3 linked regions of the Bombyx mori genome follow. The protein of the gene in region 3 purifies or fractionates together with the protein of the main gene of each other region. This does not show direct contact. Links are inferred from orthologs where the notes say so. Each region holds a gene or a part of one and is shown on either strand. Other genes may lie near its edges.

The links.
Region 1: the proteins of syntaxin 5A (region 3) and vesicle-trafficking protein SEC22b-B purify together in Homo sapiens (co-immunoprecipitation; 4 studies listed by BioGRID and IntAct, counting the BioPlex papers as one, with this or other methods). This does not show direct contact. The link is inferred for Bombyx mori from reciprocal best matches to the Homo sapiens genes STX5 and SEC22B.
Region 2: the proteins of syntaxin 5A (region 3) and BET1-like protein purify together in Homo sapiens (affinity purification with mass spectrometry; 3 studies listed by BioGRID and IntAct, with this or other methods). This does not show direct contact. The link is inferred for Bombyx mori from reciprocal best matches to the Homo sapiens genes STX5 and BET1.

What each region holds. Positions count from the first base shown.
Region 1 is NC_085121.1:557,032-565,730, reverse strand, and holds vesicle-trafficking protein SEC22b-B, read left to right. Parts: upstream 1-2,690; 5' UTR 2,691-2,870; coding exon 2,871-2,945; intron 2,946-3,114; coding exon 3,115-3,224; intron 3,225-4,273; coding exon 4,274-4,394; intron 4,395-5,151; coding exon 5,152-5,350; intron 5,351-5,970; coding exon 5,971-6,119; 3' UTR 6,120-8,281; downstream 8,282-8,699. UniProt on the Homo sapiens protein: SNARE involved in targeting and fusion of ER-derived transport vesicles with the Golgi complex as well as Golgi-derived retrograde transport vesicles with the ER.
Region 2 is NC_085114.1:8,351,613-8,358,807, reverse strand, and holds BET1-like protein, read right to left. Parts: upstream 4,425-7,195; 5' UTR 4,142-4,424; coding exon 3,803-4,141; 3' UTR 3,710-3,802; downstream 1-3,709. UniProt on the Homo sapiens protein: Required for vesicular transport from the ER to the Golgi complex. Functions as a SNARE involved in the docking process of ER-derived vesicles with the cis-Golgi membrane.
Region 3 is NC_085118.1:10,686,676-10,695,641, forward strand, and holds the start of syntaxin 5A, read right to left. Parts: upstream 4,825-8,966; 5' UTR 4,024-4,824; coding exon 3,999-4,023; intron 2,650-3,998; coding exon 2,498-2,649; intron 2,327-2,497; exon of another isoform or gene 2,115-2,326; coding exon of another isoform or gene 2,109-2,114; exon of another isoform or gene 2,075-2,108; intron 1,888-2,074; coding exon 1,461-1,887; intron 813-1,460; coding exon 604-812; intron 1-603. UniProt on the Homo sapiens protein: Mediates endoplasmic reticulum to Golgi transport.

The sequences.
Region 1 (8,699 bases), on a different chromosome or scaffold from region 3:
TAGCCACGTGATGGCGTCGCTAGATAGTTCAAGTATGAAATTTGTGCGTGGAAGCAACGAGAAGGTTAGTGAATTTGGTATTAGGGCGGGGAGGGCGCTGCGGTCGCACGGCAGCACGCGATTAAATGTTTCGAAGTTGCATGCTATTTCGATGTACGTTTATCTAAATGTAATTAATGTCCAAGTGTGTATTTCAATACGTAATTCATTCCGGATGAACGTGTTTGTTGCGTGTCGTTAGTTTAATTTCATTACCTTGAACAATAGACGGCGCTTCCTTCGTTTTTGCTTCAAAATTATTATTTTTTAATTCTGAGAGTTAGAATGTGTAAATGTGAAATTTTGTGTTATATTTGCTTTTAGTTTTTAATGCAATTACAGTCCGATAATTTTTAATTAACTTTAACATAGATTTTGTTAATTTTACAAGATAATGTATTTTCTGCCCCCTAGTTAAGTTATTTTTCTAATGTATAGTTAGTTGTAAGTGTAAATGATTTAGTACGTAATTTGATGCATGATGATAATGTTAATAAAATATCCACAAAAAATATATCTTTATTATTTATTCTCCGTTTCCCTTTATGATTTAAAAACACAATAATCATTTAATGAAGAAATGAAAAATTTGAGCTTACTATAGAAATTATCCTATGAAGTCTAAAATTTAAAAACAAATACCGCGAGATAAATTTAAAAATACGCTTTATTGAGTTGTCGATGATACTTATTTATTTATTTATTATTATCCTATGGCTCATCTATTGGAGTGTTGACCGAGGGTGGCGATACCTACATGCGAGCCGCAACCTACTACAGTGCGCTTAGTGCGAGTTTTTTAACGTTCTCCATAGCGTAAAAGTTAACTCAACATTTGCAGTTGGAACAACACCCCTAGCCGCGAACGTAGGCAAACGTTCCAAATCCATACGAATTTGAGTTATCTTCTACGCTAATAGTTTGTCATTTAGTGTGCAATCTATAACCAAACATCATGGTATTACTTGATTGAGATTAATAATTAAATTTCTTTGCCAAAATTTGGGTATAAATTAATTGAACCTTATGTATTATATTCTCCTATCTGAAAATTATTTAAGACACCAACTTTCTAAGAATCTCCCACTTAACTGTAAACTTAACGCTGGTCATAACACTCCTAATACAGTTGCCAATGTTAATATTGTAGATTACCTATGATTATAAGTAGTGTTAGCCTCTCTATGAGTGTGTGTAATCAATCACGACTAGTACGATCTAGTCCTAATCCATTCAAATACTTCATCAAAATACCCAATCCACATAGCCTTGTTCCGTTCAGTTTCCAGTCCTGTACATGGCATAGTACTTGTACTGTACTTGACTGGCTACTGGCTAATAGACTAATCCACTTCATCGCGTGGGCCTCGGACTTCAGCAAAGCACCCAATGACGACATATGCATGCATTTGTTTTACCAACAGTCTCAAATGCCGCGGCCGCTGCTGCCCGGGAGTCGTTCACCAGAGAAGCAACCAGCATGCTGTCACTGGTACCTTGCTCAGCTAGACTAGCCTTTTATAATAAATACGGAGTTTACTGCGTTATTTATTTGATTAGACCCGTTACCTTCTCGTATCCGAATTTACATGATATTAACACCTATGTAACGGGTAGCTATCAGAGATTTTTTTATGGGATTTTATGACCTGGTAACTAAGACCTTTAAATCATGTCTTATTTTAATTTATATTCTTATTTTTATGAAAAATGATAATATGGAGTGAAATGAAATGAAATGAAGATGATTAATTTGAGACATTAAACTGGGATGAAATTAAATTAAATGAGATGAGATTATATGGTATGAAATATAATCTCAGTAAAATGGTGGTTGGTCATTTACTGAGACTTTTTCAGTGGACTTTTTGGAGGATCCCGAGAAGTTACGTTCAGCGGCTTTGTTTGATTTTCCCACATTTGTGCACATTCACAGATATTAAACAGTCAATAAACCACCGTTATTACATATTTAAACCTGAAGAAACACTAAATAGACAAAATAAAACAAATCACACAACTTCACTCCTCGCTTCCCGCCCAAAAGGCCGCTATCAGAGAATGCGAAGATATTTTACAGAATCCTGAGTCTCGCTAACGACATTTTCAAGATAAGTTTCAATACTTTTATACAAATTCCGGACAACAATATTCGGACTGTTGGTCTACCAAGCAATTCACCCGCTCATTGCAAGATCTTCCCTTTGTCTTATAAACAAAACCTGTTTTAGTAAAAAAGCTTTTCTTCTAGTAATAAAGTGTACTGAAAAAATTTAAGTTCAATTCAATTCTTACTGGTGGTAGGACCTCTTGTGAGTCCGCGCGGGTAAGTACCACCACCCCGCCTACTTCTGCCGTGAAGCAGTAATGCGTTTCGGTTTGAAGGGCGGGGCAGCCGTTGTAACTATACTTGAGACCTTAGAACTTATATCTCAAGGTGAGTGGCGCATTTACGTCGTAGATATCTATGGGCTCCAGTAACCACTTAACACCAGGTGGGCTGTGAGCTCGTCCACCCATCTAAGCAATAAAAAATAAAAGTAATATGTGTACTCTTTTTACCACAAGTAGATAGTTTGATGGATCGAAAAGACAATAATTTCACGTAAAATAGCAAGTCCAAAGTGTGACTTTCTGATTGGTAACACTGCTAGTTGACGTGTTGTTGTCATGTCAGTCCACTTGACGTGTAAGCACAGCTGTCGTGGTATTGAGAACCTATTGAGTTTTCTTCATGTTTTCAAAACTATGAGAAGGAAAAAACCTTAAATTAAAGTTGAACTCAATTACATAAATTTTATGTTTAAGTGAGAGACATTTTAACTTTAAATATGGTGTTAATGACTATGATTGCAAGAGTCGCCGACGGGCTGCCTTTGGCTGCCACTATGCAAGAGGATGAGCAGGTATTTAGAATGCTCTATAATCATTTTCTATGATAACATATTTCGTCATATATACATTTCTTTCGTATCTTTTTGTTTCATGTATTAGTATTTTTATTTTTAAATTGCAATTTTGTTTATTATTTTTGTTTGTTGTAATTATAATTTAATTTGCTGTAATGATTTGCAGAGCGGGTGCAATATACTCGAGTACCAGAATCAGGCTAAAATGCTGTTTAGGAAATTAAGCCCTCAGTCCCCGATGAGATGTTCCATTGAAACCGGCCCGTATCTCTTCCAGTGAGTCACAGTTCATTTATGTCAATTAAACCTATATCATTTTAAACAAAAATAGTCCAACAAAAAATCTATATGCAAAACGTTTTTGAAAGTAATATGTACACAGTAGCTTCTTACCTAATTCACCATTTAAATGTTTAGCCAGACATAACTTTCTGACATAGGACATTGTGCACCTGTAATATATTATTACATATGCTACTACTATACTTATTTGCAACATACAATATGATACAATATGACTATTGTGAAAATCAATTTATATTGTATAACAACCCAGAGATGTTACAGCTTATGGGCATTTTAATATCAACAATTATATCAATATGGTACAAGTTTTAAAATCGGACTGTAAAGTACAATTTTATATTATTTGTCTATTCTTTTACTCGTTTTTTAGCACAAAACCCCTAAAATTTATAATGCTTTTTAAGTATTGGCTTTGTAGAATGATTTTTAAGTATGGTTTTGTTTTTTTATTTGAGTTTTTGCTAGGTTTTATTATGTGAGCTGCAAAACTAACTATGTTATATACTTGGAAGCTGCTATGTCTTTATTGTGAGACTGGTGCGATAGTACTGAGCCATATGTTCAATTAAATATTGTTATGTACAACACATGTTCTACTAAAATTCAAAATGCAATGGAATTAACTCTGAATGTAAACATGTTATTATGCATTTAGTTTTATCATGTACTGGTTGGGTGATCAGGCTCACAAGCCACCTAGTGTTAAGTGACTAAGTAACCTTACAATATCACAAACTGCCATATGTGCTTGTTCGCATACACTTTTAGGCATGTTATTCGTGGTGGGGTCAACATCACATTGACTGCTGGGTGTTTGCCTGATTTTTCCTTATAATATTAGTAATAGATTCACATGAGGACATGCACAATTAATATTGTTGTGAGCCACCAGTATACCGAGCAGCTTATGAAAATAAACAGTGGCGCCTTAAGGAACATTTTACATAATTCTAATCTATTGATAATAATGCCTGTTTTTGTGAAATAATGGTTTTAAGAAATAAAATTTCTCTTTTCAGTTATTTGATTGAAAATCACATATGTTATTTGGTCCTGTGTGAAAGAAACTACAGTAAACGACTAGCATTCAATTATCTCGAGGAAATAGCACAGGAATTCTTCCAACAGTACGGACACAGGGTCTGTTTTTAATTTATTAAAATTACAAAATTTTCTTTCAGTTTCAATCTGAGGAACAGATTTTTTAATTGGGTGTTATTTGTAGTCTATCTAGTTTTTTTTTTCCTACCTTATCTGATAGTCTTGAGAGGCTATATCAGCGTCGCCTTAACTAGTAGGTGAGCTCGTGGGGCTCAAGCCTGATGACGTTACTAACACGAACCCTAGCAAGAGCCGTGCTTCGCAGAATCTAAAACCAGATCGGAAAACCGACCCACTGAGAAGCTGCTTAGTGTTAATCAATCACTGGCAGCATGTAGATACCAGAACAAGAATAACAGCACCTGCTGACTCCACCTACTCTGGAATAAAAATATCTCAATATTCAAATTGGAATGCATCATTATTTGAGTTACAGTTTTAGTTTCATTATACAAACAATCAGAATAGGTCTACCATCCCAGTATTAAGAACTAAACATCTGAGATAAAAAAAAATACATAAGTTAATCGTGAACATTTGCTAAGTACGTATATCATTATTGAAATTAGAAAAATTGGTACCCGCCTGCGGGATTCGATCACCGGTGCATCGCTACATACAAATGCACGGGCGTCTTATCCTTTGGGCCACGACGACTTAAAGTGACTTTAAGTACATTTCAAGTTAATCAACCGAATTCTTAAAGACCGAACCGAAAGGAAGACTCGACTTCTGCATTGTGTGTTCAATGATATTTAAACTACAGCGTTATTTATAGAAATGAGTTTGTCCACAGTTGAACACCGTGACTCGTCCGTACACGTTCATAGAGTTCGACACGTGCATGCAGCGCACGCGGAAGCAGTACGCGGAGGGCGGCGCGCGCGCCCGCCGGGCCGGCGCCGCCTCGCACCTGGCGCCGCAGCTGGGCGACGTGCAGCGCATCATGATGCAGAACATCGACGACGTGCTGCAGAGGGGAGCTATACTGTCCGGTAAATGCCTTCATCTTCTCCATTTTTGTATTGATAAATCACCTCCATCCCTAATTTTATCTAATTTTTACACGGGTATAATATTGTTATAATGTACCGGTCTTGCAATTGGCACCACATCACTTGAAAACCTGTCTTTTTATTTTTTTATTGCTTAGTTGGGTGGATGAGCTCACGGCCCACCTGATGTTGACCTTGAGATATGAGTTCTAAGGTCTCAGTATAGTTACAACGGCTGCCCCACCCTTCAAACCGAAACGCATTACTGCTTCACGGCAGAAATAGGCAGGATGGTGGTACCTACCCGTGCAGACTCACAAAAGTCCCACAACCAGTAATTAAGCAAATTACAATTTTGCGGTCTTAATATGTTATTTAGTCAACCTCCCTTACGTTTAAGTTATAATAGTTGTCAATGTTCTACCATATCTTTAACCACTGCGAGTAGTATATCTGTCTGGAACCACTGCATTCACCCACAGTGTGTTTTCAGAGGTCAAACTTTAGTTATGTACCATCCGGCTCCGACATAGACTCTATCAGCATAGGTGGGAGAAAAAAATTTTTTTTCGTGAATTTCCAGAATATGGTTATTCAATTTTACGTGATTTAACTTTCAGAACTGGACACGAAGACGCAAAACCTATCGATGATGTCGCAGAAGTACCGGAAGGACGCCACGTATCTCAACACGAAGTCGATGCTGGTGAAGGTGACCGCCGGAGCCGTTATCGTGCTCGTGATTGTGCTTTACTTCTGGGTTCTCTAGATGATTCCATGATAGTTACGGTTTGTCTCGGGGAAATGAGCGCGACTTATAATTAACACAACAACAAATACATATCGTCGCTGTCAAACCAAAATCAGCTATGTGCAAAAACTCTATTTTGAATTAACGAGTAAAAACATTTTCGTATAAAATTTTATATGAAAGTGGATTTTTAAGAACTATATTAAATGAAAGCTACAGATAAATATTAAAGCTATAGACAAATAACAGTTTTTTTATACTTTGGATAAGGCTGTGAACTATACAAAAAGGTCAAAACGTAAAAATCTCAAAAAGTGCCCATAGTAGATTTTGGTTTGACAGCGACGACATATTATTCAAAACGAAAACAATGATGGTGAATTATAATTATAGCAAAACATTACTATTTAATTGTTCTTATTTATTATTAATCACGTATGAGCAGATTGATGTTGCAGGAGTGGTAGGCGTCCACCGCCTACCGCCATGTACGGTCTGAATGAGGTTGTTGACCCCCATATTTTGTACGCGCGTTCATTGCGTGTTTCCAAAATCTATTATTCCAACATGTTTATTATTTTTCGCCTCGCTTAATATGAGTCAGTATAATGATAATTTGAATTTTTATTGCCCCGGTAATTAGAATTTCTACTTTGGAAACGCCCTTAAATGATCGATGCCCGCACTACCTGTCACATTGATAATACCTACACTGCTAACAGACTTAACTGTCAGCGCTTAGAATCCATAGACAACAAAAAATTTTTTTTTGAGTCCTTTTGACTATTCAATTATTTTTTTGACCGATTTTTATAATTATTTGAGAACTATTATGATCTTAAATCTATTCTACGGTTTAAACCAAAATATGTCTCTCCGGCCCATAATTATAGAATTCAAAAACCCAGAGCCATGTTTATTTCACATTCGTGTGAAAGCGTCATATGGGACTCAGTGTTTAAATTACTCATTCCAGTAACTCAATTCTTCCTCAACGTATTTGAATTTGTGAATAATATATAAATTAAAAATATATGTCAAAAGCAATAAATAAGAAATGTATGTATAATGTTGTTTTTTTAATCCTTTGCTATCTATAGTTCACGCCAATTTCAAGAGACCAGTTGCTAAAATCGTATGTAACATGTGAAATAAAATCAATGCAAAATTATTTAAAAAGTAAATCTGTTAAAAAAAATATATGTATAAAATACACATATTATATTAAACAAGTTGACATATTTTTCAAAAGAGAACACGCTTTTGGTGTTTCAAAACAGAAATAAATTCAATGCGAGCAGTACCATTTGATAAGGGTTTTGATGGCACCAATTCATTAAAATTCATTAGTTGTTACATTAAAAAGAGTTGATCATAGAAAGATCATATTGATGGGTAAAGGGCTATTTGGTTTAAGCGACATTTCGCTTGACACGCGACATCTATCTTTTTAATTAAAGGTCCGTTTTATTTGGTATTAGTATCATGACTTCAATATTTTAAATTGAATTTCAATTAAGTTTACCCCATTCAAATAACTGAATGTTTATTTAGTTAGGATATATAATTATTTTATTAACTTTCATAAACGATAAATGTCCTTATACAATTCCTCTAAGCTCATTTGAGGTTTTCTAACTATTCAACTGTGTTCAGAAAATTGGTACAGAGAAACATTGTATATTTATTTGTATTTATACATTCCAGGTCATTTTTTTGTTCACTAATTCAAAATTGTTTAACATTTTAAATGGTCTATAAATAATTATCAGGGACACAAGATAATTTTATTCCAAACAAAAATACTCAGGCCCAGGTACCACCACGATGAACATTGCTTTATACTTTCAAGCTATTCAGAATAAAACACATGCGAACTTGCCTTAAATTAAGAAAACTCAATGAAGAACAACTGACATCAAGAATCTTAAAACTAATAACAGATAGATTTGGCATTATTAGTGTTGTATTTCAGTATGTAAATAAAGTAATATTAGAGTTATTATAATAATTTTATTATGTATTATTGGTCAGGTCATTCATAAAGTAGGTAATCAGGCACATCTTATTATTGTTTCTCACATATTAATTGTGTATGTTGGTGATGGAATGTTGAGTTTGATCACAATTTTTACTGTTGTATTTGATTTAAGGTTTAATAAACATGCATCCCTTTTAAATTTTGTTTTGTTTTTAAATACATAATTGCTACTAATGCTGTGTAAAATTACAATCCAACATATTTATTATATTTCATATATCATATTTATTATTCTATTTTATACTACTGCAGTATTTATCTTTAGATTTACAGACTATTGAGATTGTAATCCTGTCAGATACCAGTATTCTACCATTTCTGTTCAGCTGTGCTATTTTTATGTATTGGACAGACTGGTGAATGAGCTCATGGTGAACCTGGTGTTAAGTAATTACCAGAGCCCAGAGATACACCATGAATGCCACCACTCACTGTAGTCTTGAGGTCTATGTCTCAGTTGTAATTTCGTCGGAGTTTATTTTTAATGACCTCAAACACTACCACCACCACCTATTGTGAAAACAAATTATGCATATTTTAAATTTTTTAACTGTTTT
Region 2 (7,195 bases), on a different chromosome or scaffold from region 3:
GACGTCCATGAGCGACGGTGACCACTTACTATCAGGTGGGCCGTATGCTCGTCTGCCTACAAAGGCAATAAAAAAAATAAAAAAAACCTAAAACGTCAGTGGTTGAACGTGTAGCTGATGCACTTAATATTGGACCACGAACTATTAGACGAATAACTAAAGAAAAATTTGGCGAGACTGGAACAGAAGAAAATAAACTTCATACAACAAAAGAGAGAAAACGAGCAAAACCAGTCGTAGGCATCGTTAGCTTTGATGCCGATGCCATTCTAAGATATGTGTACGGCTACTATTTACGAAAGGAGTACCCAACAAAAAAAAAGTTAGTGCAATCACTGAGGGAAGCTGATGGGGAAGTTCTTTAATGAAGATTTTAAAGACCGTTGGATTTCGATACAGATAATGTAACAAACGCAAAATCTTGATGGAGAGATTTGATATCGTGATGGCAAGATATACTTTTTTACGGCAAGTGAAAGAAATTGAAAATGTGCAAAATTGTGTGTTTTTGTATGAAACATGGCTTAATGCTAACCATACTGTAAGTCGTTTTTGGACCGATATCTATGCAAAATCTACGTCCACAGTTCCTGTTGGGAAAGGATCGCGACTTATAATTTGTCACGCCGGAACCATCAACGGGTTTGTCGGAGGTTCTCTCATGGCGTTTGCGTCAAAAACCACTGGAGACTATCATGAAGAAATGAACGGGGAAAGTGTACTGAATGATTTATTTCAATTTTGTGTAGCCTCCCTGTACCATCTATTATAATAATGGATAACGTCCCATATCACTCGATGTAAATTGACAAGCCACCTGCCCAATCCCAAAAGAAAGCTGACATCATCGCATGGCTTCATAAAAATGGCGCAGATGCAAACGTAGATATGTTAAAAGCGAATTACTTAGTACGTCTTTTAAAAGAAAGCAAACCAACCAAGATACGATACGTCATTGACGAAATAGCGTTAGAACATGGGCACAGAGTTATATGGTTACCACCTAACCATTGTGAATATAATGCAATTGAGTTGGTGTGGGCTCAAATTAAGGGATATGCTGCAAGACGCAATACAAAATCCCTATTGACCCCAACAAAAATGCTAAAAATATTAGACGAAGCTTGTAAGCATGTGACTAAAGGAGACTGGGAAAAGGTTGTGAATAGAACTGTTAAATTAATAAGGGAAGATTATGAATAATATTGTAGAAAACGAACTTCTAATTAATCCAAGTGATGACAATGTAAATAGTAGTAGGAACGAATCTGATTAAATTTAGCCTTTCGTGACACCTAACCATATAAAGTATGTATATTCATTTTAATTCCAATATTCAGATCGTTCAAATATATTAAGTAAGCATTTATATTTTTGTTTTATTAAACCTTTTTAATCAGGTACTACTTGCAATAAAAACTTATAGATTTCATTATATTTTTTTCGGGAATAAATTGTCATTTCACATCACTATTGTAATATGTCAAAACGACCATCATAGCGTGCCGATAGTGTAAGTAGTAATTCTATAATCTGTGCTGTTACACCGGTCACTCACATGCGCACGAATACGCAAACCCGCAAGTGTAGGACGACATTTGCAAATGACTATGCAAAGTTTTCGCTGCATTCGTGGTTTTCCAAGTTGTGTCGGTTTTTTAACAGACATCAAAGCGCGCGAACCTCTAACCTTCGCGTAGTCTCCCACACATTCGCTTGCCCAGTTGCGCCGACAATTGCAAAGGTAACGGACGTATCGCCATTTTCATAGTTCGTGACGTCTACTGTGTAGCGTATCTTCATCAAAAGAAATCCCATAAAAACAGCATGGCTGTTAATGATGTCTGGGAAAGAATTAAAAACTCTTTTTCTCTTCAATGTTCTATTGACGAATTAAAAAGGAGGAGAAATTCGTAAGACATTCGTAAACAAGTGTAGGAGGAAGCGCAAACGGGTTCGCGCGCTTTGATGTCTGTTAAAAAACCGACACAGCTTGGAAAATCACGAATGCAGCGAAAACTTTGCATAATCATTCGCAAATGTCGTCCTACACCTGCGGGTTTGCGTATTCGTGCGCATGTGAGTGACCGGTGTAATACTAACGGCTCAGTGACTTTTTTGGCGGGAACGCGAGGAGTGAAGTTGTGTGATTTGTTTTTATTTTGTCTATTTAGTGTTTCGCCAGCTTTAAATGTGTAATAACGGTGGTTTATTAACTGTTTAATATCTGTGAAAGTGCACAAATGTGGGAAAATGAAACAAAGCCGCTGGACGTAACTTCTCGGGATCCCCCAAAAAGTCCACTGAGACAGTCTTAGTAAATAACCATCATTTTACTGAGATTATATTTCATCCATATCATCTCGTTCGTCTCATCTCATTTCATTTCATTTTATGCCATGTTTAATAATATTAATCAACTTCATTACATTTCACTTCATATTATCATGTGCAGAGTTAATTACTACATTAATCAAATTACTTTCTCAACATCAATTATCTATACCGTACCACGCTGCTAATTTCATTCAAACTTACACTAATATTAATAATGGTTAACACGGACAGTTTCCTTCGTTTTTTATTATTCATAAACTGTAAATAATTAAAACGGCGAATTATAAAAATATTATTATTTGACACTGGCTAATACACAAAACGTGCCAGAACCAAAAAAAAACTAATAAATTAATGTGTGAACTAAATAGAAAGAGATGTGAGATACATAATACATATTACTTAGTGAGAAAAGATGACCTAAGTATTTGAAATAGGCACTAAAATTTATAAATAAACATAAATGAAAATACTTTTTACTTGCTTATTTCTTGTTATTTTTGCCAAATTTTTAGATAGCGCATTTTGATGTTTATATTAGCTACTTCAGAAATTGAATGTATTTGCTATGGAAGGTAACAAAATACAATTCTACTTTGAAGAAACAAGTTTAAACAGAATAAATCTTTTTAAAGAAGCTTTATCCAGTGCAGAAAACGGAAGAGTTCTTTATATTCTCCATGAAGAATTAAGTCAGCTACCCACATTATCACAAGATTTAAATTCAGTGAATAGACATTTCATGAAAATGATTAGTTTTCTTTATGTAGAAACTATTGAAGCACTTATAGACAGTGTTTCAACACTACCAGATTGGCAGAATGTGCCCTCAACAATTATTTTAGATGACTTAAGCAAGTTCTTCAGTAGAAACAACCAACAAAACATTTATGGGATTATTGCTCTGTTGATGGACAGTGTACGGATCTGTTCTGTTTCACTCGGAAAGCCATGTAATTTATTTGTTGCTGTAAGTAAAGAAGTTGTAGGCGATGATTTTTGTAAAATCTTAAAAGAATTATACTTTTGATTGAAGTTTAAAAACTAGTTAGCATAATTATTATAGGGAATACTTACTAATGATCACATATGAGCATCATTTTAAGTATTATACTTATTTGTTGCATAAGTAGGTGAGTGAGTTAAGTGGATACCTAAGCCTATAGATAACAATCAAAACTTAAATACCGCTGACTATCTTTAGAGCTAAGGTTAAAGGCTCAATTGTATTTTATTATGGCTGTCCTTCAAACAACATATGGTTACTTAGTGAAGGAAAAAATTAAATGTTGACACCTACCTGTGCAAGCTAGTACTTATCATTGAAACATATTGTAAAAGTTGTGGAATAAGTGAAATAAAATAAACATTTAATTTATACATATGTTTTATTTACATTTCAACATATACAAAATTTATTTCGAAACACTTATAATACACAGGAGTGATGGATGGGTAATGAAAATCATCTAAATTTTAAAATAATATACAACAAAAAGAACACAAAAATGGAGAAGAGGAATAGATAGAAAATATAATAGTTGTGGTTCCCTTTGCCAAGCCTTAAAACTCTTCCCATGGTTTTTCCAAGGAAACCTGAGCTTCTGTCAACATCATCATCTAATCCACGCAAAAGTTTTTCTTGGTCCCTTACTTCATTGCCTAACTCAATGGAAATGTATTTAAGTGAAGATATCTTGCCACTGAGTTCTTCAGCCATTCGTTCATTTTCATTTTCGATAGTATCTTCCGTAGCTACTCTGGGCACTGGCTGATAGTGGTAGCCTTCGCGGGCTCGCCTCATATTCGTTCGGCCCGCCGTTTTGATTAGCAGCAAGACACAAGAGTGATGATGATAATCAGGTCTTGGTTAATTACGTCCTTCGTTAGACGTTTATTTAATTTTGGATCTACTTGCCGCCTATTTACTATAAAATATTGTTTGTTTTTGTCAATTTGTAATAGGATATGAAAAAAAAACACTAATTTAATAATCTGGACACATTGAAAACATACATGGTTTACAGTAAGTATATAATTTGCTTTTATGTAGTTGTGTTAGATGTGATAGTCTCCTACGTGTTTATCTGACTCAAATGTCAACTGTCAATAGTAGTAGTAGCTCCATTTATCCAACTGAAAAGACGAAGGTCTCCTAATATTATGCATATTTCGTTTTATGACAAATTTAATGGACCGCATTGAAATAATGTTGATTAATTTGAAATTTTAATCATTTGAGATGAAATTAAATGAAACTTGATAATGCGGGTCTCAGTAAATGGTGTTTATTTACTTAAACTTTCTCAGTGAACGTTTTGAAAGAACTCGAGAAGCTACGTCCAGTGGCTTTGTTTTATTTTCCCACAATGTGCACTTACACAGATACTAAACAGTTAATAAAGCACCGCTATTATAAATTAACAAAATAGAACAATTCACACAACTTCGCTCCTCGCGTTCCCGTCAGAGTTCGACGTGCGAACTAGCTCATAGACACAACTCACTGGGTTTCTCACCGGGTCTTTTCAGTGGTTTACAATTCCGATCCGGTGGTAGATTCTGCGAAACACTACTATTGCTAGGGCCAGTGCTAGCAAACTCTCAGATTGAATGACCTCACCTACCAGTCGGTGATTAGCTGGAATAGACCCTTAGGGCTACCAGCGATTAGGTAGAGAAAAAAGTCTTCAACGCTCATCTTTCAGTCTACCAGTCACATAGTAGAACTGAAATCCTACGAGCTGATGAAGGAAAATACTTAGGGCTATCCCGCAATAGGCGAAACACAGAGAATTCTGTGTTACAGTACCGTGACACGTAACTAACGATGAGCACGACCACAAAATTAAGGAACAAGTGGAAGCATATATAAAAACAAAATATTGCAATTCCTAATACTCACGAGACAATCAGCTTCAGAACTAAAAAATAAATAAATAAACCTACTAATATTGATTTTTTTTATTGCTTAGATGGGTGGACGAGCTCACAGCCCACCTGGTCTTGTGGTTACTGGAGTCCATAGACATCTACAACGTAAATGCACCATCCACCTTGGTTTCACTGCAAAAATAGGCAGGGTGGTGGTACCTACCCGTGCGGACTGGACACATACTGCCCAATTTCCCAAATTAATCGTGGGTTTTCACAATTATTATAGATAAATTAAAAAAATTATATTTAGAAAGTAGATTATGCAGATAAATATTTCTTGTTTACATCGCAACGTTGAGGCACTTTGATTTAAAAAATGTCGTGATTCGTACTTTATTTAAATTACAATTTTCAACGTTGATAATAATATCAGAAGGCCCTTTAAAAAAAAAACATGGAAACTGGTTTTTCGAACAGTTTAATTAAGCATTGGCGCACTCATATCGCATGAAAAGTTTTTAATCTGTTCAATCAAGAAAATGTATTTCCGAAAATGCTTTCAAAGTAATTAAACGATAATTCAACCTGCAAACTTTTTCTTATCCCTTTTAAGCCGCCGTTAATTAGCTATTCCCGGGCCCTACAACGTCTTTTTAACATTTTCTTTTGATTTTGCACGCGCATGAACTTCATGCTTTTTCGACTTGGTGCTCGACTTCCCATCTGCCGCTCAGAATTCGTGCGCTTGGAAGTTGGAACGGGTTTACATAATATACCTTCTCTTGTGAACTTTTAATAAGTCGCTGAACGCAGAACGCAAAATAATTAATAATTTAATAAAACATGCTACATACATACTCAATTATTTTATTTTTCAATAATTATTATTGTACAAAGTTTTAACAGTCAGTAACTATCGAAGAATAAAGCTTTCTTATTACTACTTACATAAAAATTTAATGTGCCTCGAGGGGAATGTATTGCACATAGCAGTTGATTTCAGAACATAATATAGAAAAACTGATTGAACAAAAATTATAAATCTACATATACATAAGATTGTTGTTAATATTTTCTACTGAATTAAGTATCTAATTAATTTCAGTTTGTTTTTATTCACGCAGATATAAAATTAAAAAAAAACATTATTCAATGAATGCCTAGCTTTTTGCTGCTAAATAATAGTAGTCATATAATCCTTGAAACAAACTCAAATGATGACAGTAGCATATGAATAATATTATGTGATGAGTAGTCCATCAAGAATATGTATAATTAAATAAGATAGGCGATTAGCATTTAGAATATGTTAGAGAACCATCCCAGCTTCGCTGCAAAGTACTTATTATGTCGTAAACTATCATTCTGAGGGAGAAAAATCAAAACAGTTTGACGATCGACTACCACGTACCTAATCGTTACCACTGCGACTAACGCATCAGCTTTAGAGCCGGTATTCCTAAAACATACTTGGAGGAAGGTAGTTTAGGCAAGAAGACGAACATATTTAAAAAGTCAATCTACCCTCTGTATATGAAAACTAGATAAGTCTGTTTTTAAATTTCACGAGGTGACTTAATTAACGTTTTATCTTCTGTCGCGACAATGTTGTTTCTCGGATAGTGAAAAAACACACGTTTTCCCTTTAAAAATGTTTACGAAACCGAATGCGACTTTTTATAATACCCGAAAATCAACGATTTGAAGCCTCTGTTGAGAACCTCTGCAACGAAATCATAGATCCAAAGATAATGGATTCAGCTATTAAAAAAGTATTAACTGGTGAAACCCAGAATACGCTTCGGTATTCTGGGTTTCACCCACTAATACTACTATACTGGGTACTACCCCAAATAGTATGATAAACATAGATTTTTTGGAATTACTGGAGTGCCATATACTCTCCTATGATAATACGACAGAAACATTTTCTACAGCGCGAACAAAAATTTTACCAATTTTCATCACATTCCGATGAAAG
Region 3 (8,966 bases):
TTGGAGATAGGGTGGACGTGGGCGGTCTTCCATGAAGACGGAACCCTGTTAGCGCAATAAGAGAGGCGATACAAACGCGTTAGCGCAGGTGTCAGCTCAGGGGCGCACGTTTTCAGAACCACTGCAGGGATGCCGTCTGGCCCACTCGACTTATGGACGTCCAGGAGTCGGAGTTCCCGCCTGACTGCACACTGTGTAAAGCAGATCTCCGGCAGGGAACTATCACACCAGGGGATGTTCGGTGGTGTGGCACCCCCGTCGTCCACAGTTGAGTTCGAGGCGAAGAGTTTGACCAGAAGGTCAGCCTTCTCTTTCGCGCTGTGGGCCAGAGTGTCATCGGACTTGCGCAGTGGTGGGAGACTAGACCTGCAAAAGTTTCCTTCTGCAGCTTTGGCGAGCGACCAAAAAGCACGGCTCCCGGAGGGATAGCTCTTTAATCGCTCGCCAACTCTAGCAACGTGCTCCTATATATATGCTTATAAATTTAGCTTCATATTTATGAAAGCATATCAGTTTACTTGGTATTGTTAATTCAGAAGAGCATAAACCATTTTTACAAAGTTTTAAATATCCAGGAACCAATTATATGTAGGAACAAATTACCTGTTTAAATTGATTACTCATTGAAGCAAGGCGTGACTGTAATGCGAGTACAACACTAGATGAATGACTGTGCATACTGCGACGACCTCTTGGCATTTCACCTAGTCTGGCAATTTGTTGATTTAAAGAATTTAAGTCTCCTTTAATAATATAAGTTAGTTCTTGAATTTCTGTGGGACGGTCATCAAATAATGATTTCCTCTTAGCCACTGCAACACAATTATTAAACATTTCAAGTAAATTTTCCTATAAGAACTGTAAAATAATCTGATTACAAAGGGATGTTGTTTAATTAATTTGTCATAAATTGTAAACTAAGATTAACTTAGTGGTAAATGACTGTTATCATATTCTTGATATATTCATTTTTTATATTTTATATATATTGAGGAGTGAAAGGCTGTTTGGTTTAAAAGACGTTTCGCTCAATACACTACATTTATCTCAGTAATTAACGTTTTTATTTGATATTACCATCAACAGTTCGATGTTTTCACTTGAATTTCACATGATTGGTTGAACTTCAATTAATTTTACTTCATTCATTTAGGTAGCTGAAGAAGTTATTTTGTTATTTTTTTTCACAATATTAATTTTGAATTTCATGATTTGATATACAGTAACATACATAAAATATAAATCTTGTAGGGCAATTTTTGTTTGTATTGGTATCATTACCTCTATGACCTAACTTCATTTTAGAGAACAATTTCTTTGTACCTAGTTTATAGCAAATGTAGCGTTTCTTTTACATCTTATTAAAAAAAAATGTTTATTTAACATTTTATAAAAGCAATAAATGAAAAGAATATAACACTTCATATTGGACTTATGCCTGAATCATTTAAAATACTTACACAAGGCTAACTTTTCCAATTTGGTATATGTACTAGTAATATTCTTACTAATTACTTTTGCCATACTCATGAATTGGGAGTAAGTTTCCAACACAGCAGCTTTTCTATCATCTCTTACGGTTGGTTTGTTTAAGAAACGTCCTTGGAGACTGCGTACAGTTGAAATGAATTCACTTGTTCTATCTCTTGAAGCCATAACTGGTTCAAAAACAAATTCTTCTAAAAATTTAAACACGTCCTGGTCAGATGATTTAAGAATCAATGTTGATTTGGAATTTGATGAGTTCTCGTAAGGCCGCGATTCCCCGTAATGAACACCTTTCTTATCTAATTTATTGTATGAATCCGTTTCTGTTTCCAAGAGTCTTTCTGTAACGCCTATATTTCGCCTTCGAGGAAGCATCGCATTGTAGTCTTCAGTCTTCACCTATAAAGTTTTACAGAAAAAACGTTGTCAACTTTGTTTGATAAGTAAATTACATTAAGTCAAACAGTACTGTTACACCACACATATGCTTTACTTGTTAATGATTGGGGATATTTTGTTTGAAAATGAAAACTTACAATTTACATAATTGAGGCAGTATTTCACAATTTTACATTCCAATACTTACTTAGAAAACCAATAGCGTTCAAATAATTACGTACTTTCATAGTACATTCATGTGTGTACAATATTTATCATTTCATCTCATCGATTCTTTTCAAAACTCGATGATATATCTATCTTTTAAATTATCAAGTCCCACTATTCCATTTTTTAGATAAGGTATGTAGGTACCTACCCACAATCCTTTATTTTTAATCACTCGATAGATTCCAGACACGTAGTCATAGATAATACACTTAACACGTAGGGGTAGTCATAGACTATTCTGGCTTAGTTTGTCCATTACTCACTCTGTCACTCACATGCGCACGAATACGCAAACCCGCAAGTGTAGGACGACATTTGCGAATGATTATGCAAAGTTTTCGCTGCATTCGTGGTTTTCCAAGCTGTGTCGGTTTTTTAACAGACATCAAAGCGCGCGAACCTCGAACCTTCGCGTAGTCTCCCACACATTCGCTTGCCCAGTTGCGCCGACGATTGCGAAGGTAACGCCGTTTTCATAGTTCGTGACGTCTACTGTGTAGCGTATCTTCATCAAAAGAAATCCCATAAAAACAGCATGGCTGTTAATCATGTCTGGGAAAGAATTCAAAAATCTTTTTCTTTTCAATGTTCTATTGACGAATTAAAAAGGAGGAGAAATTCGTGAGACATTCGTAAACAAGTGTAGGAGGAAGCGCAAACGGGTTCGCAAATTGAGTATGCGAACCCATTTGCACAGCCGCTAGGTTTGCGAATGAATGTTTGACGGCCCTTTACATGCGCGCAAACATTCGTACAATGTACGAATATTTGCGCGCATGTCAGTGGCCGGCATTAATACAATTAATTTTTTTTTTATCTCAGATCTACTTTTTTTACTCTTTGGGTTACAGTCCTGTTTCATTTTCATCTTTTTATGGATTTTAGTTTCTCTTCATGCCAACAAATTGTTGCCGTAAAAATTCTATAGAAATAAAATAATAATTTCATCTGTCATTTGAAACATATTCAACAAAATTTTCACAATACAAACATCTGGAACAGCCATTTCAATGTAATCTCAAAAAGCATATTAATTTAACTGTTGTACCACTTCGTTAGAATTGATGTGGGTATACCTAGTTGTTTGTCTTAGCAATTTTTGGCAGACTAATGACAATGTGTTTATGTTTCTATAGAGAAGGTCGATCTCTTCACTTCCAACTATTTAAATTAAATGACGAAGAAGTGACACCAACGAACATGTGTGTGTGTATCAAAAGATTATATCGTGTGATGATCAATGGGTCGTTTTTAAATTTGGGGCCAAAAGCGAGTTATTTAATTCTCATAATAACCTTAATGTTACCGTAATTATATGTTCAGTAAATTTGTTGTCATAACAGGCGCGTGGTCCTATAACTATACACCACTATTTTTAAATTAGTACAAAAAAATTAACTGGGCTCTAAGTATCTTTAACTAATCATATTATATGGTAGTTAAAAATAAAAAAAACACGAAGTCTCAGAACTGTCCATAAAAATACGTAATAATTGGTAAATGCTAAATAACTAAATCAATGACCGAAAGTACGTGCGGCAGGGTTTTAGTATCTACGGGGCGCTGCTCCATTGATAAATTCCAGGAAACTCAAGTCAACTCAACTCAACAATAACGACAAAAACCTAAACACTACTAAATTGTTAGCGGAAGTGTGCGCATGCTTTTTTTCGTTGCAACAGTTGTTTGTTTAAGTTTTCCCTGATGCGATGGCTTATCAGTTCACATCACGGGAGTATGTAGCTATGCTTCGTGGGTACTTTTTGAGTGGAGAAAATGCGAGTGCAGCTGTACGTATGTACAGGGAAGAATACCCGAACGCGAGTGCAGCTGTACGTATGTACAGGGAAGAGTACCCGAACGCCCGACAGCCAAATGTGCGAACCGTGGTAAATGCTTACCAGCATTTGCTTGATCACGGTTCATTCCACGCACCGTCACATAGTCAAGAACGAGGAAGACTGGCGTTGTGACAAAATCTGTACGACGATGTACTAGCGTATTTTGAAGAGGATCCCCGACGGAGTACAAATGACACTGCTCGACGGTTTAACAACAGCCAGTCCTGTGCCTGGAAGATTGTTAATAAGGCCGGATTATATCCATATCACTACAGGAAATCTCAGGAATTAACCACCGTTGATTATGTAGCGAGGATTTCATTTTGCATCAGGATACTGAACAATACCGAAGCAAATGTATTATTTTCTGCATTGGGCCTGTAGCTTGGCCTCCACGCTCACCTGACCTCACGCCCATGGACTTCTTTTGTGGAGTGAAATTAAGAGATGTGTGTACAGAAGCGAGCCGGTTAGGCTCGCACAATTAAAACAGCGCATATTGGACGCTTTTGACGAAGTGAAAAGACATAGAAGCGCACTTCTCTCGTTAAAAACGAGTTAATGAAACTTGCCCGTCAATGTATTGACAATGGTGGTGGACATGTCGAAGGACAATTGAATATACAAGTATTCATGATGAGATGATATGGGATGAAATATAATCTCAGTAAAATGGTGGTTATTTACTGAAATTTTTTTAGTGGACTTTTTGGAGGATCCCGATAAGTTACGTCCAGCGGCTTTGTTTCATTTTACCACATTTGTGCACTTTCACAGATATTAAACAGTTAATAAACCACCGTTATTACACATTTAAACCTGAAGAAACACTAAATAGACAAAATAAAACAAATCACACAACTTCACTCCTCACGTTCCCCCCAAAAAGTCGCTGTCATTTTTTTTTCTCTTTTTTTAGGTATTTTATGACCTGGTAGCTAAGACTTTTAAGTCATGTCTTATTTTAATTTATACTCTTATTTTTATGAAAAATTATGAAATGAAATGAAGATGATTAATTTGAGACATTAATCAACTGGGATGAAATCAAATGAAATGAAATGAGATGATATGGGATGAAATATAATCTCAGTAAATTGGTGGTCATTTACTGAGACTTTTTCGTTGGACTTTTTGGAGGATCCCGAGAAGTGACGTCCGGCGGCTTTGTTTCATTTTCCCACATTTGTGCACTTTCACAGATACTAAACAGTTAATAAACCACCATTATTACACATTTAAACCTGAAGAAACACCAAATAGACAAAATAAAACAAATCACACAACTTCACTCCTCCGTTCCCGCCAAAAAGTCGCTGTCATTTTTGTTTTTTTTTTTAATTTTATGACGTGGTGACAGAGACCTTTAGGTCATATCTTATTTGGAAAATGTTCATTAGTTTGGGGCTGTCATTTATAGTTCACTTTTATCATAGATTATCATAGACCTATATAGTAGGGACACGACATATTGTACTATACGTACAATTGCTTATATAAATAGCACCCATTTTGAAGGCACACACATAAACATATATCTATCTCGTTCTTACTCAGCACTTTAACTCGCAGGAAAATAATATAACAGTATTTCAGTGCGTACATAAAATGAAACATGAATATACGTAAATGTCTAATGAGGCCGAAAATCCGCCATGTTGAGCGCTCCAAATGTCATTGTCACGTCAGTTCGGCCGTCTGTTTTGGGTTGCGATTTAATATGATTGCTTATATAAAATTTCATATTTTATCATGCTTAAAACATACAAAAATAATAATTAAAACGTATTTTATAGGATCTCAAGAAAGTCGATGCCCCAAAACTATTATCTATATATATTTAAATTCATTACGGAGCCCTCATCCGAAAAATCATTTTTCGGTCGGAATCTATTGATCATGACACTAATTATAAATACCTCTTTAAAATATGTCATCAAAACATATTATTGACATTCTGTTTAGATATTTCGGGAAAAAGGCTACCGACAAAATCTCTTCGGAACTATTTAAATAAAATAGTTTTATGCCGCAGTGAATAAAACACTATTGTAAATTCGGTAAATATTTAATAATTAAGTGATTTTAGAGAGGAAGTCACAAGGAATGACGTTTGTAATTAATGAATAAATGTTCTGTATAGTGGGATTTTTTATTAGACGAAGTAAACTGACGTTTACTGTGTTGTCAGGTTTTGATGAAATAAAAATAGTGTTGTGACAAAGTGAACGATTGAAAAAACTCCTGAATTAATGAAATTGCCTCGATTGTCTAATGAATAGTAGGTGTGCCGAATTGCCGATATCGGGTACGGGGTTCGTATTTTATGCGTGCTTTGTACATACCAACGAGTTTTCGACGAAATATTATGTTCCTATAGTATCTACCTGTACTGAATACCGAGTGTTTTAAACATTATGAAAAACATTGCGAGGAAGCTTGTAAAACTGTCCTATTTCCAATACATCAGATAGTTGAAATTATAGATGTATAAAATATAACAATTATAGGTATGTAACGAAAATAAAAAAAAGTGTGTGTGTCCGCTCCGACGCACGACTGGAGTTTACTGGATATAAATATAAATTTGTGTCAGTTGAATACAGTAAAATATGGAAGTTACGTATTCTAGTGAGAATGATCCGGGAGTTGCGGAACACGTGGATGCGGTAATTAAGTAAGTCTATATAATTCACTTTTACAATTAATATATAAGTTGTCCATTCACTGATAGAAGGAATTGTTTATATTTAATAAGCTTTATTAATAAATGATTTGTAGCGGGTTATATTCGGGTATCAACCCACTAACAGTTGATACGTTCAGGAATCGAACCCGAACGGCGTCCGGCCACAAGCAAAACGATGTCGGTAAATTAAACGAAACAATACGAGAAATAGTTCTATATTACGACAACACGATACACTACAGATTATTAACAAATTAACGAGACACAAAACAAACGACTAACAAATATATGAAAATACAATAATGAGAGAAACGCGCGATCAGTACGAGGCTTTGTGGCGGACTGCCGGCGCAGCAGCCCGGCGTCACCTGCGATAACGCGGCCGCGCGTTGGCTCCTGATTGGCCAATCAGGAGCCAATCAGGCGCATAACGCATTTCGTGTGACATGCTATACTCTCTAGTACGATTTTGGTCCCCATAATTTTCATACCCCGGGCCTATATATGTAAATCGATTCTTAAGGAGTAAACTCCAAAATACTGATTGTAGTTACATACTACTAGTAACATATATTGGAGCACTTTAATACAATTTTATTGTAAAATATAAATAATATTCTTTTATAGTTTGAAATTAATGATTAATTCTTCACACTCATTGTTCATTCATGTGATTGAACGAGAACTAAACGCATCACTATTACTTTAAATATAGCAACATTATTTCACAAAGTGACATTAGCTACTGTCAGCTGGCTTCGTCTAATTAAAAATCCGACTATAGGTGTTTTTTTTTTCACGCGGTCCTACGATAAGTTTAAAATTTGAATCACTCTCACGTGAAAGTGATTCAAATGGTGCGGCGCACCTTCCTTGAGGTGCGCTGCGGTAGTGTGTTACGGACTTTAGGTCAGCAAAACAATTAAAATAGATTGTAATAGTCTAAGAAAAACACGTACTCAAAATACGATAACATTTAGCATGCTAGAAATGGGCAGATGGCACTGTACTACGCCATATCTTTATGTTTTGCGACAAACGACAACTTTATAAAATCAGTGTAGCAACTTTTAAAAATCATCATATCGTTTACTTGGCAAATTCGAAGGACGAACTTGTCTTAGATTTCACACATCTAAATCATATCATATTTGCACATAACAATATACCTACTTACTTCCCATTAAAGTATAAATTATTTTATTTTTGGAGTTTACTCCTTAAGAATCGATTTACATATATAGGCCCGGGGTATGAAAATTATGGGGACCAAAATCGTACTAGAGAGTATAGCATGTCACACGAAATGCGTTATGCGCCTGATTGGCTCCTGATTGGCCAATCAGGAGCCAACGCGCGGCCGCGTTATCGCAGGTGACGCCGGGCTGCTGCGCCGGCAGTCCGCCACAAAGCCTCGTACTGATCGCGCGTTTCTCTCATTATTGTATTTTCATATATTTGTTAGTCGTTTGTTTTGTGTCTCGTTAATTTGTTAATAATCTGTAGTGTATCGTGTTGTCGTAATATAGAACTATTTCTCGTATTGTTTCGTTTAATTTACCGACATCGTTTTGCTTGTGGCCGGACGCCGTTCGGGTTCGATTCCTGAACGTATCAACTGTTAGTGGGTTGATACCCGAATATAACCCGCTACAAATCATTTATTAATAAAGCTTATTAAATATAAACAATTCCTTCTATCAGTGAATGGACAACTTATATATTAATTGTAAAAGTGAATTATATAGACTTACTTAATTACCGCATCCACGTGTTCCGCAACTCCCGGATCATTCTCACTAGAATACGTAACTTCCATATTTTACTGTATTCAACTGACACAAATTTATATTTATATCCAGTAAACTCCAGTCGTGCGTCGGAGCGGACACACACACATTTTTGGAGTTTACTCCTTTAGAATCGATTTACATATATAGGCCCGGGGTATGAAAATTATGGGGACCAAAATCGTACTAGCATGTCACACGAAATGCGTTATGCGCCTGATTGCGCATGTCACACGAAATGCGCGCCGGGCTGCTGCGCCGGCAGTCCGCCACAAAGCCTCGTACTGATCGCGCGTTTCTCTCATTATTGTATTTTCATATATTTGTTAGTCGTTTGTTTTGTGTCTCGTTAATTTGTTAATAATCTGTAGTGTATCGTGTTGTCGTAATATAGAACTATTTCTCGTATTGTTTCGTTTAATTTTTTATATCCAGTAAACTCCAGTCGTGCGTCGGAGCGGACACACACACTTTTATTTTTATTTTTATTGCTTAGATGTGTGGACGAGCTCACAGCCCACCTGGTGTTAAGTGGTTACTGGAGCCCAT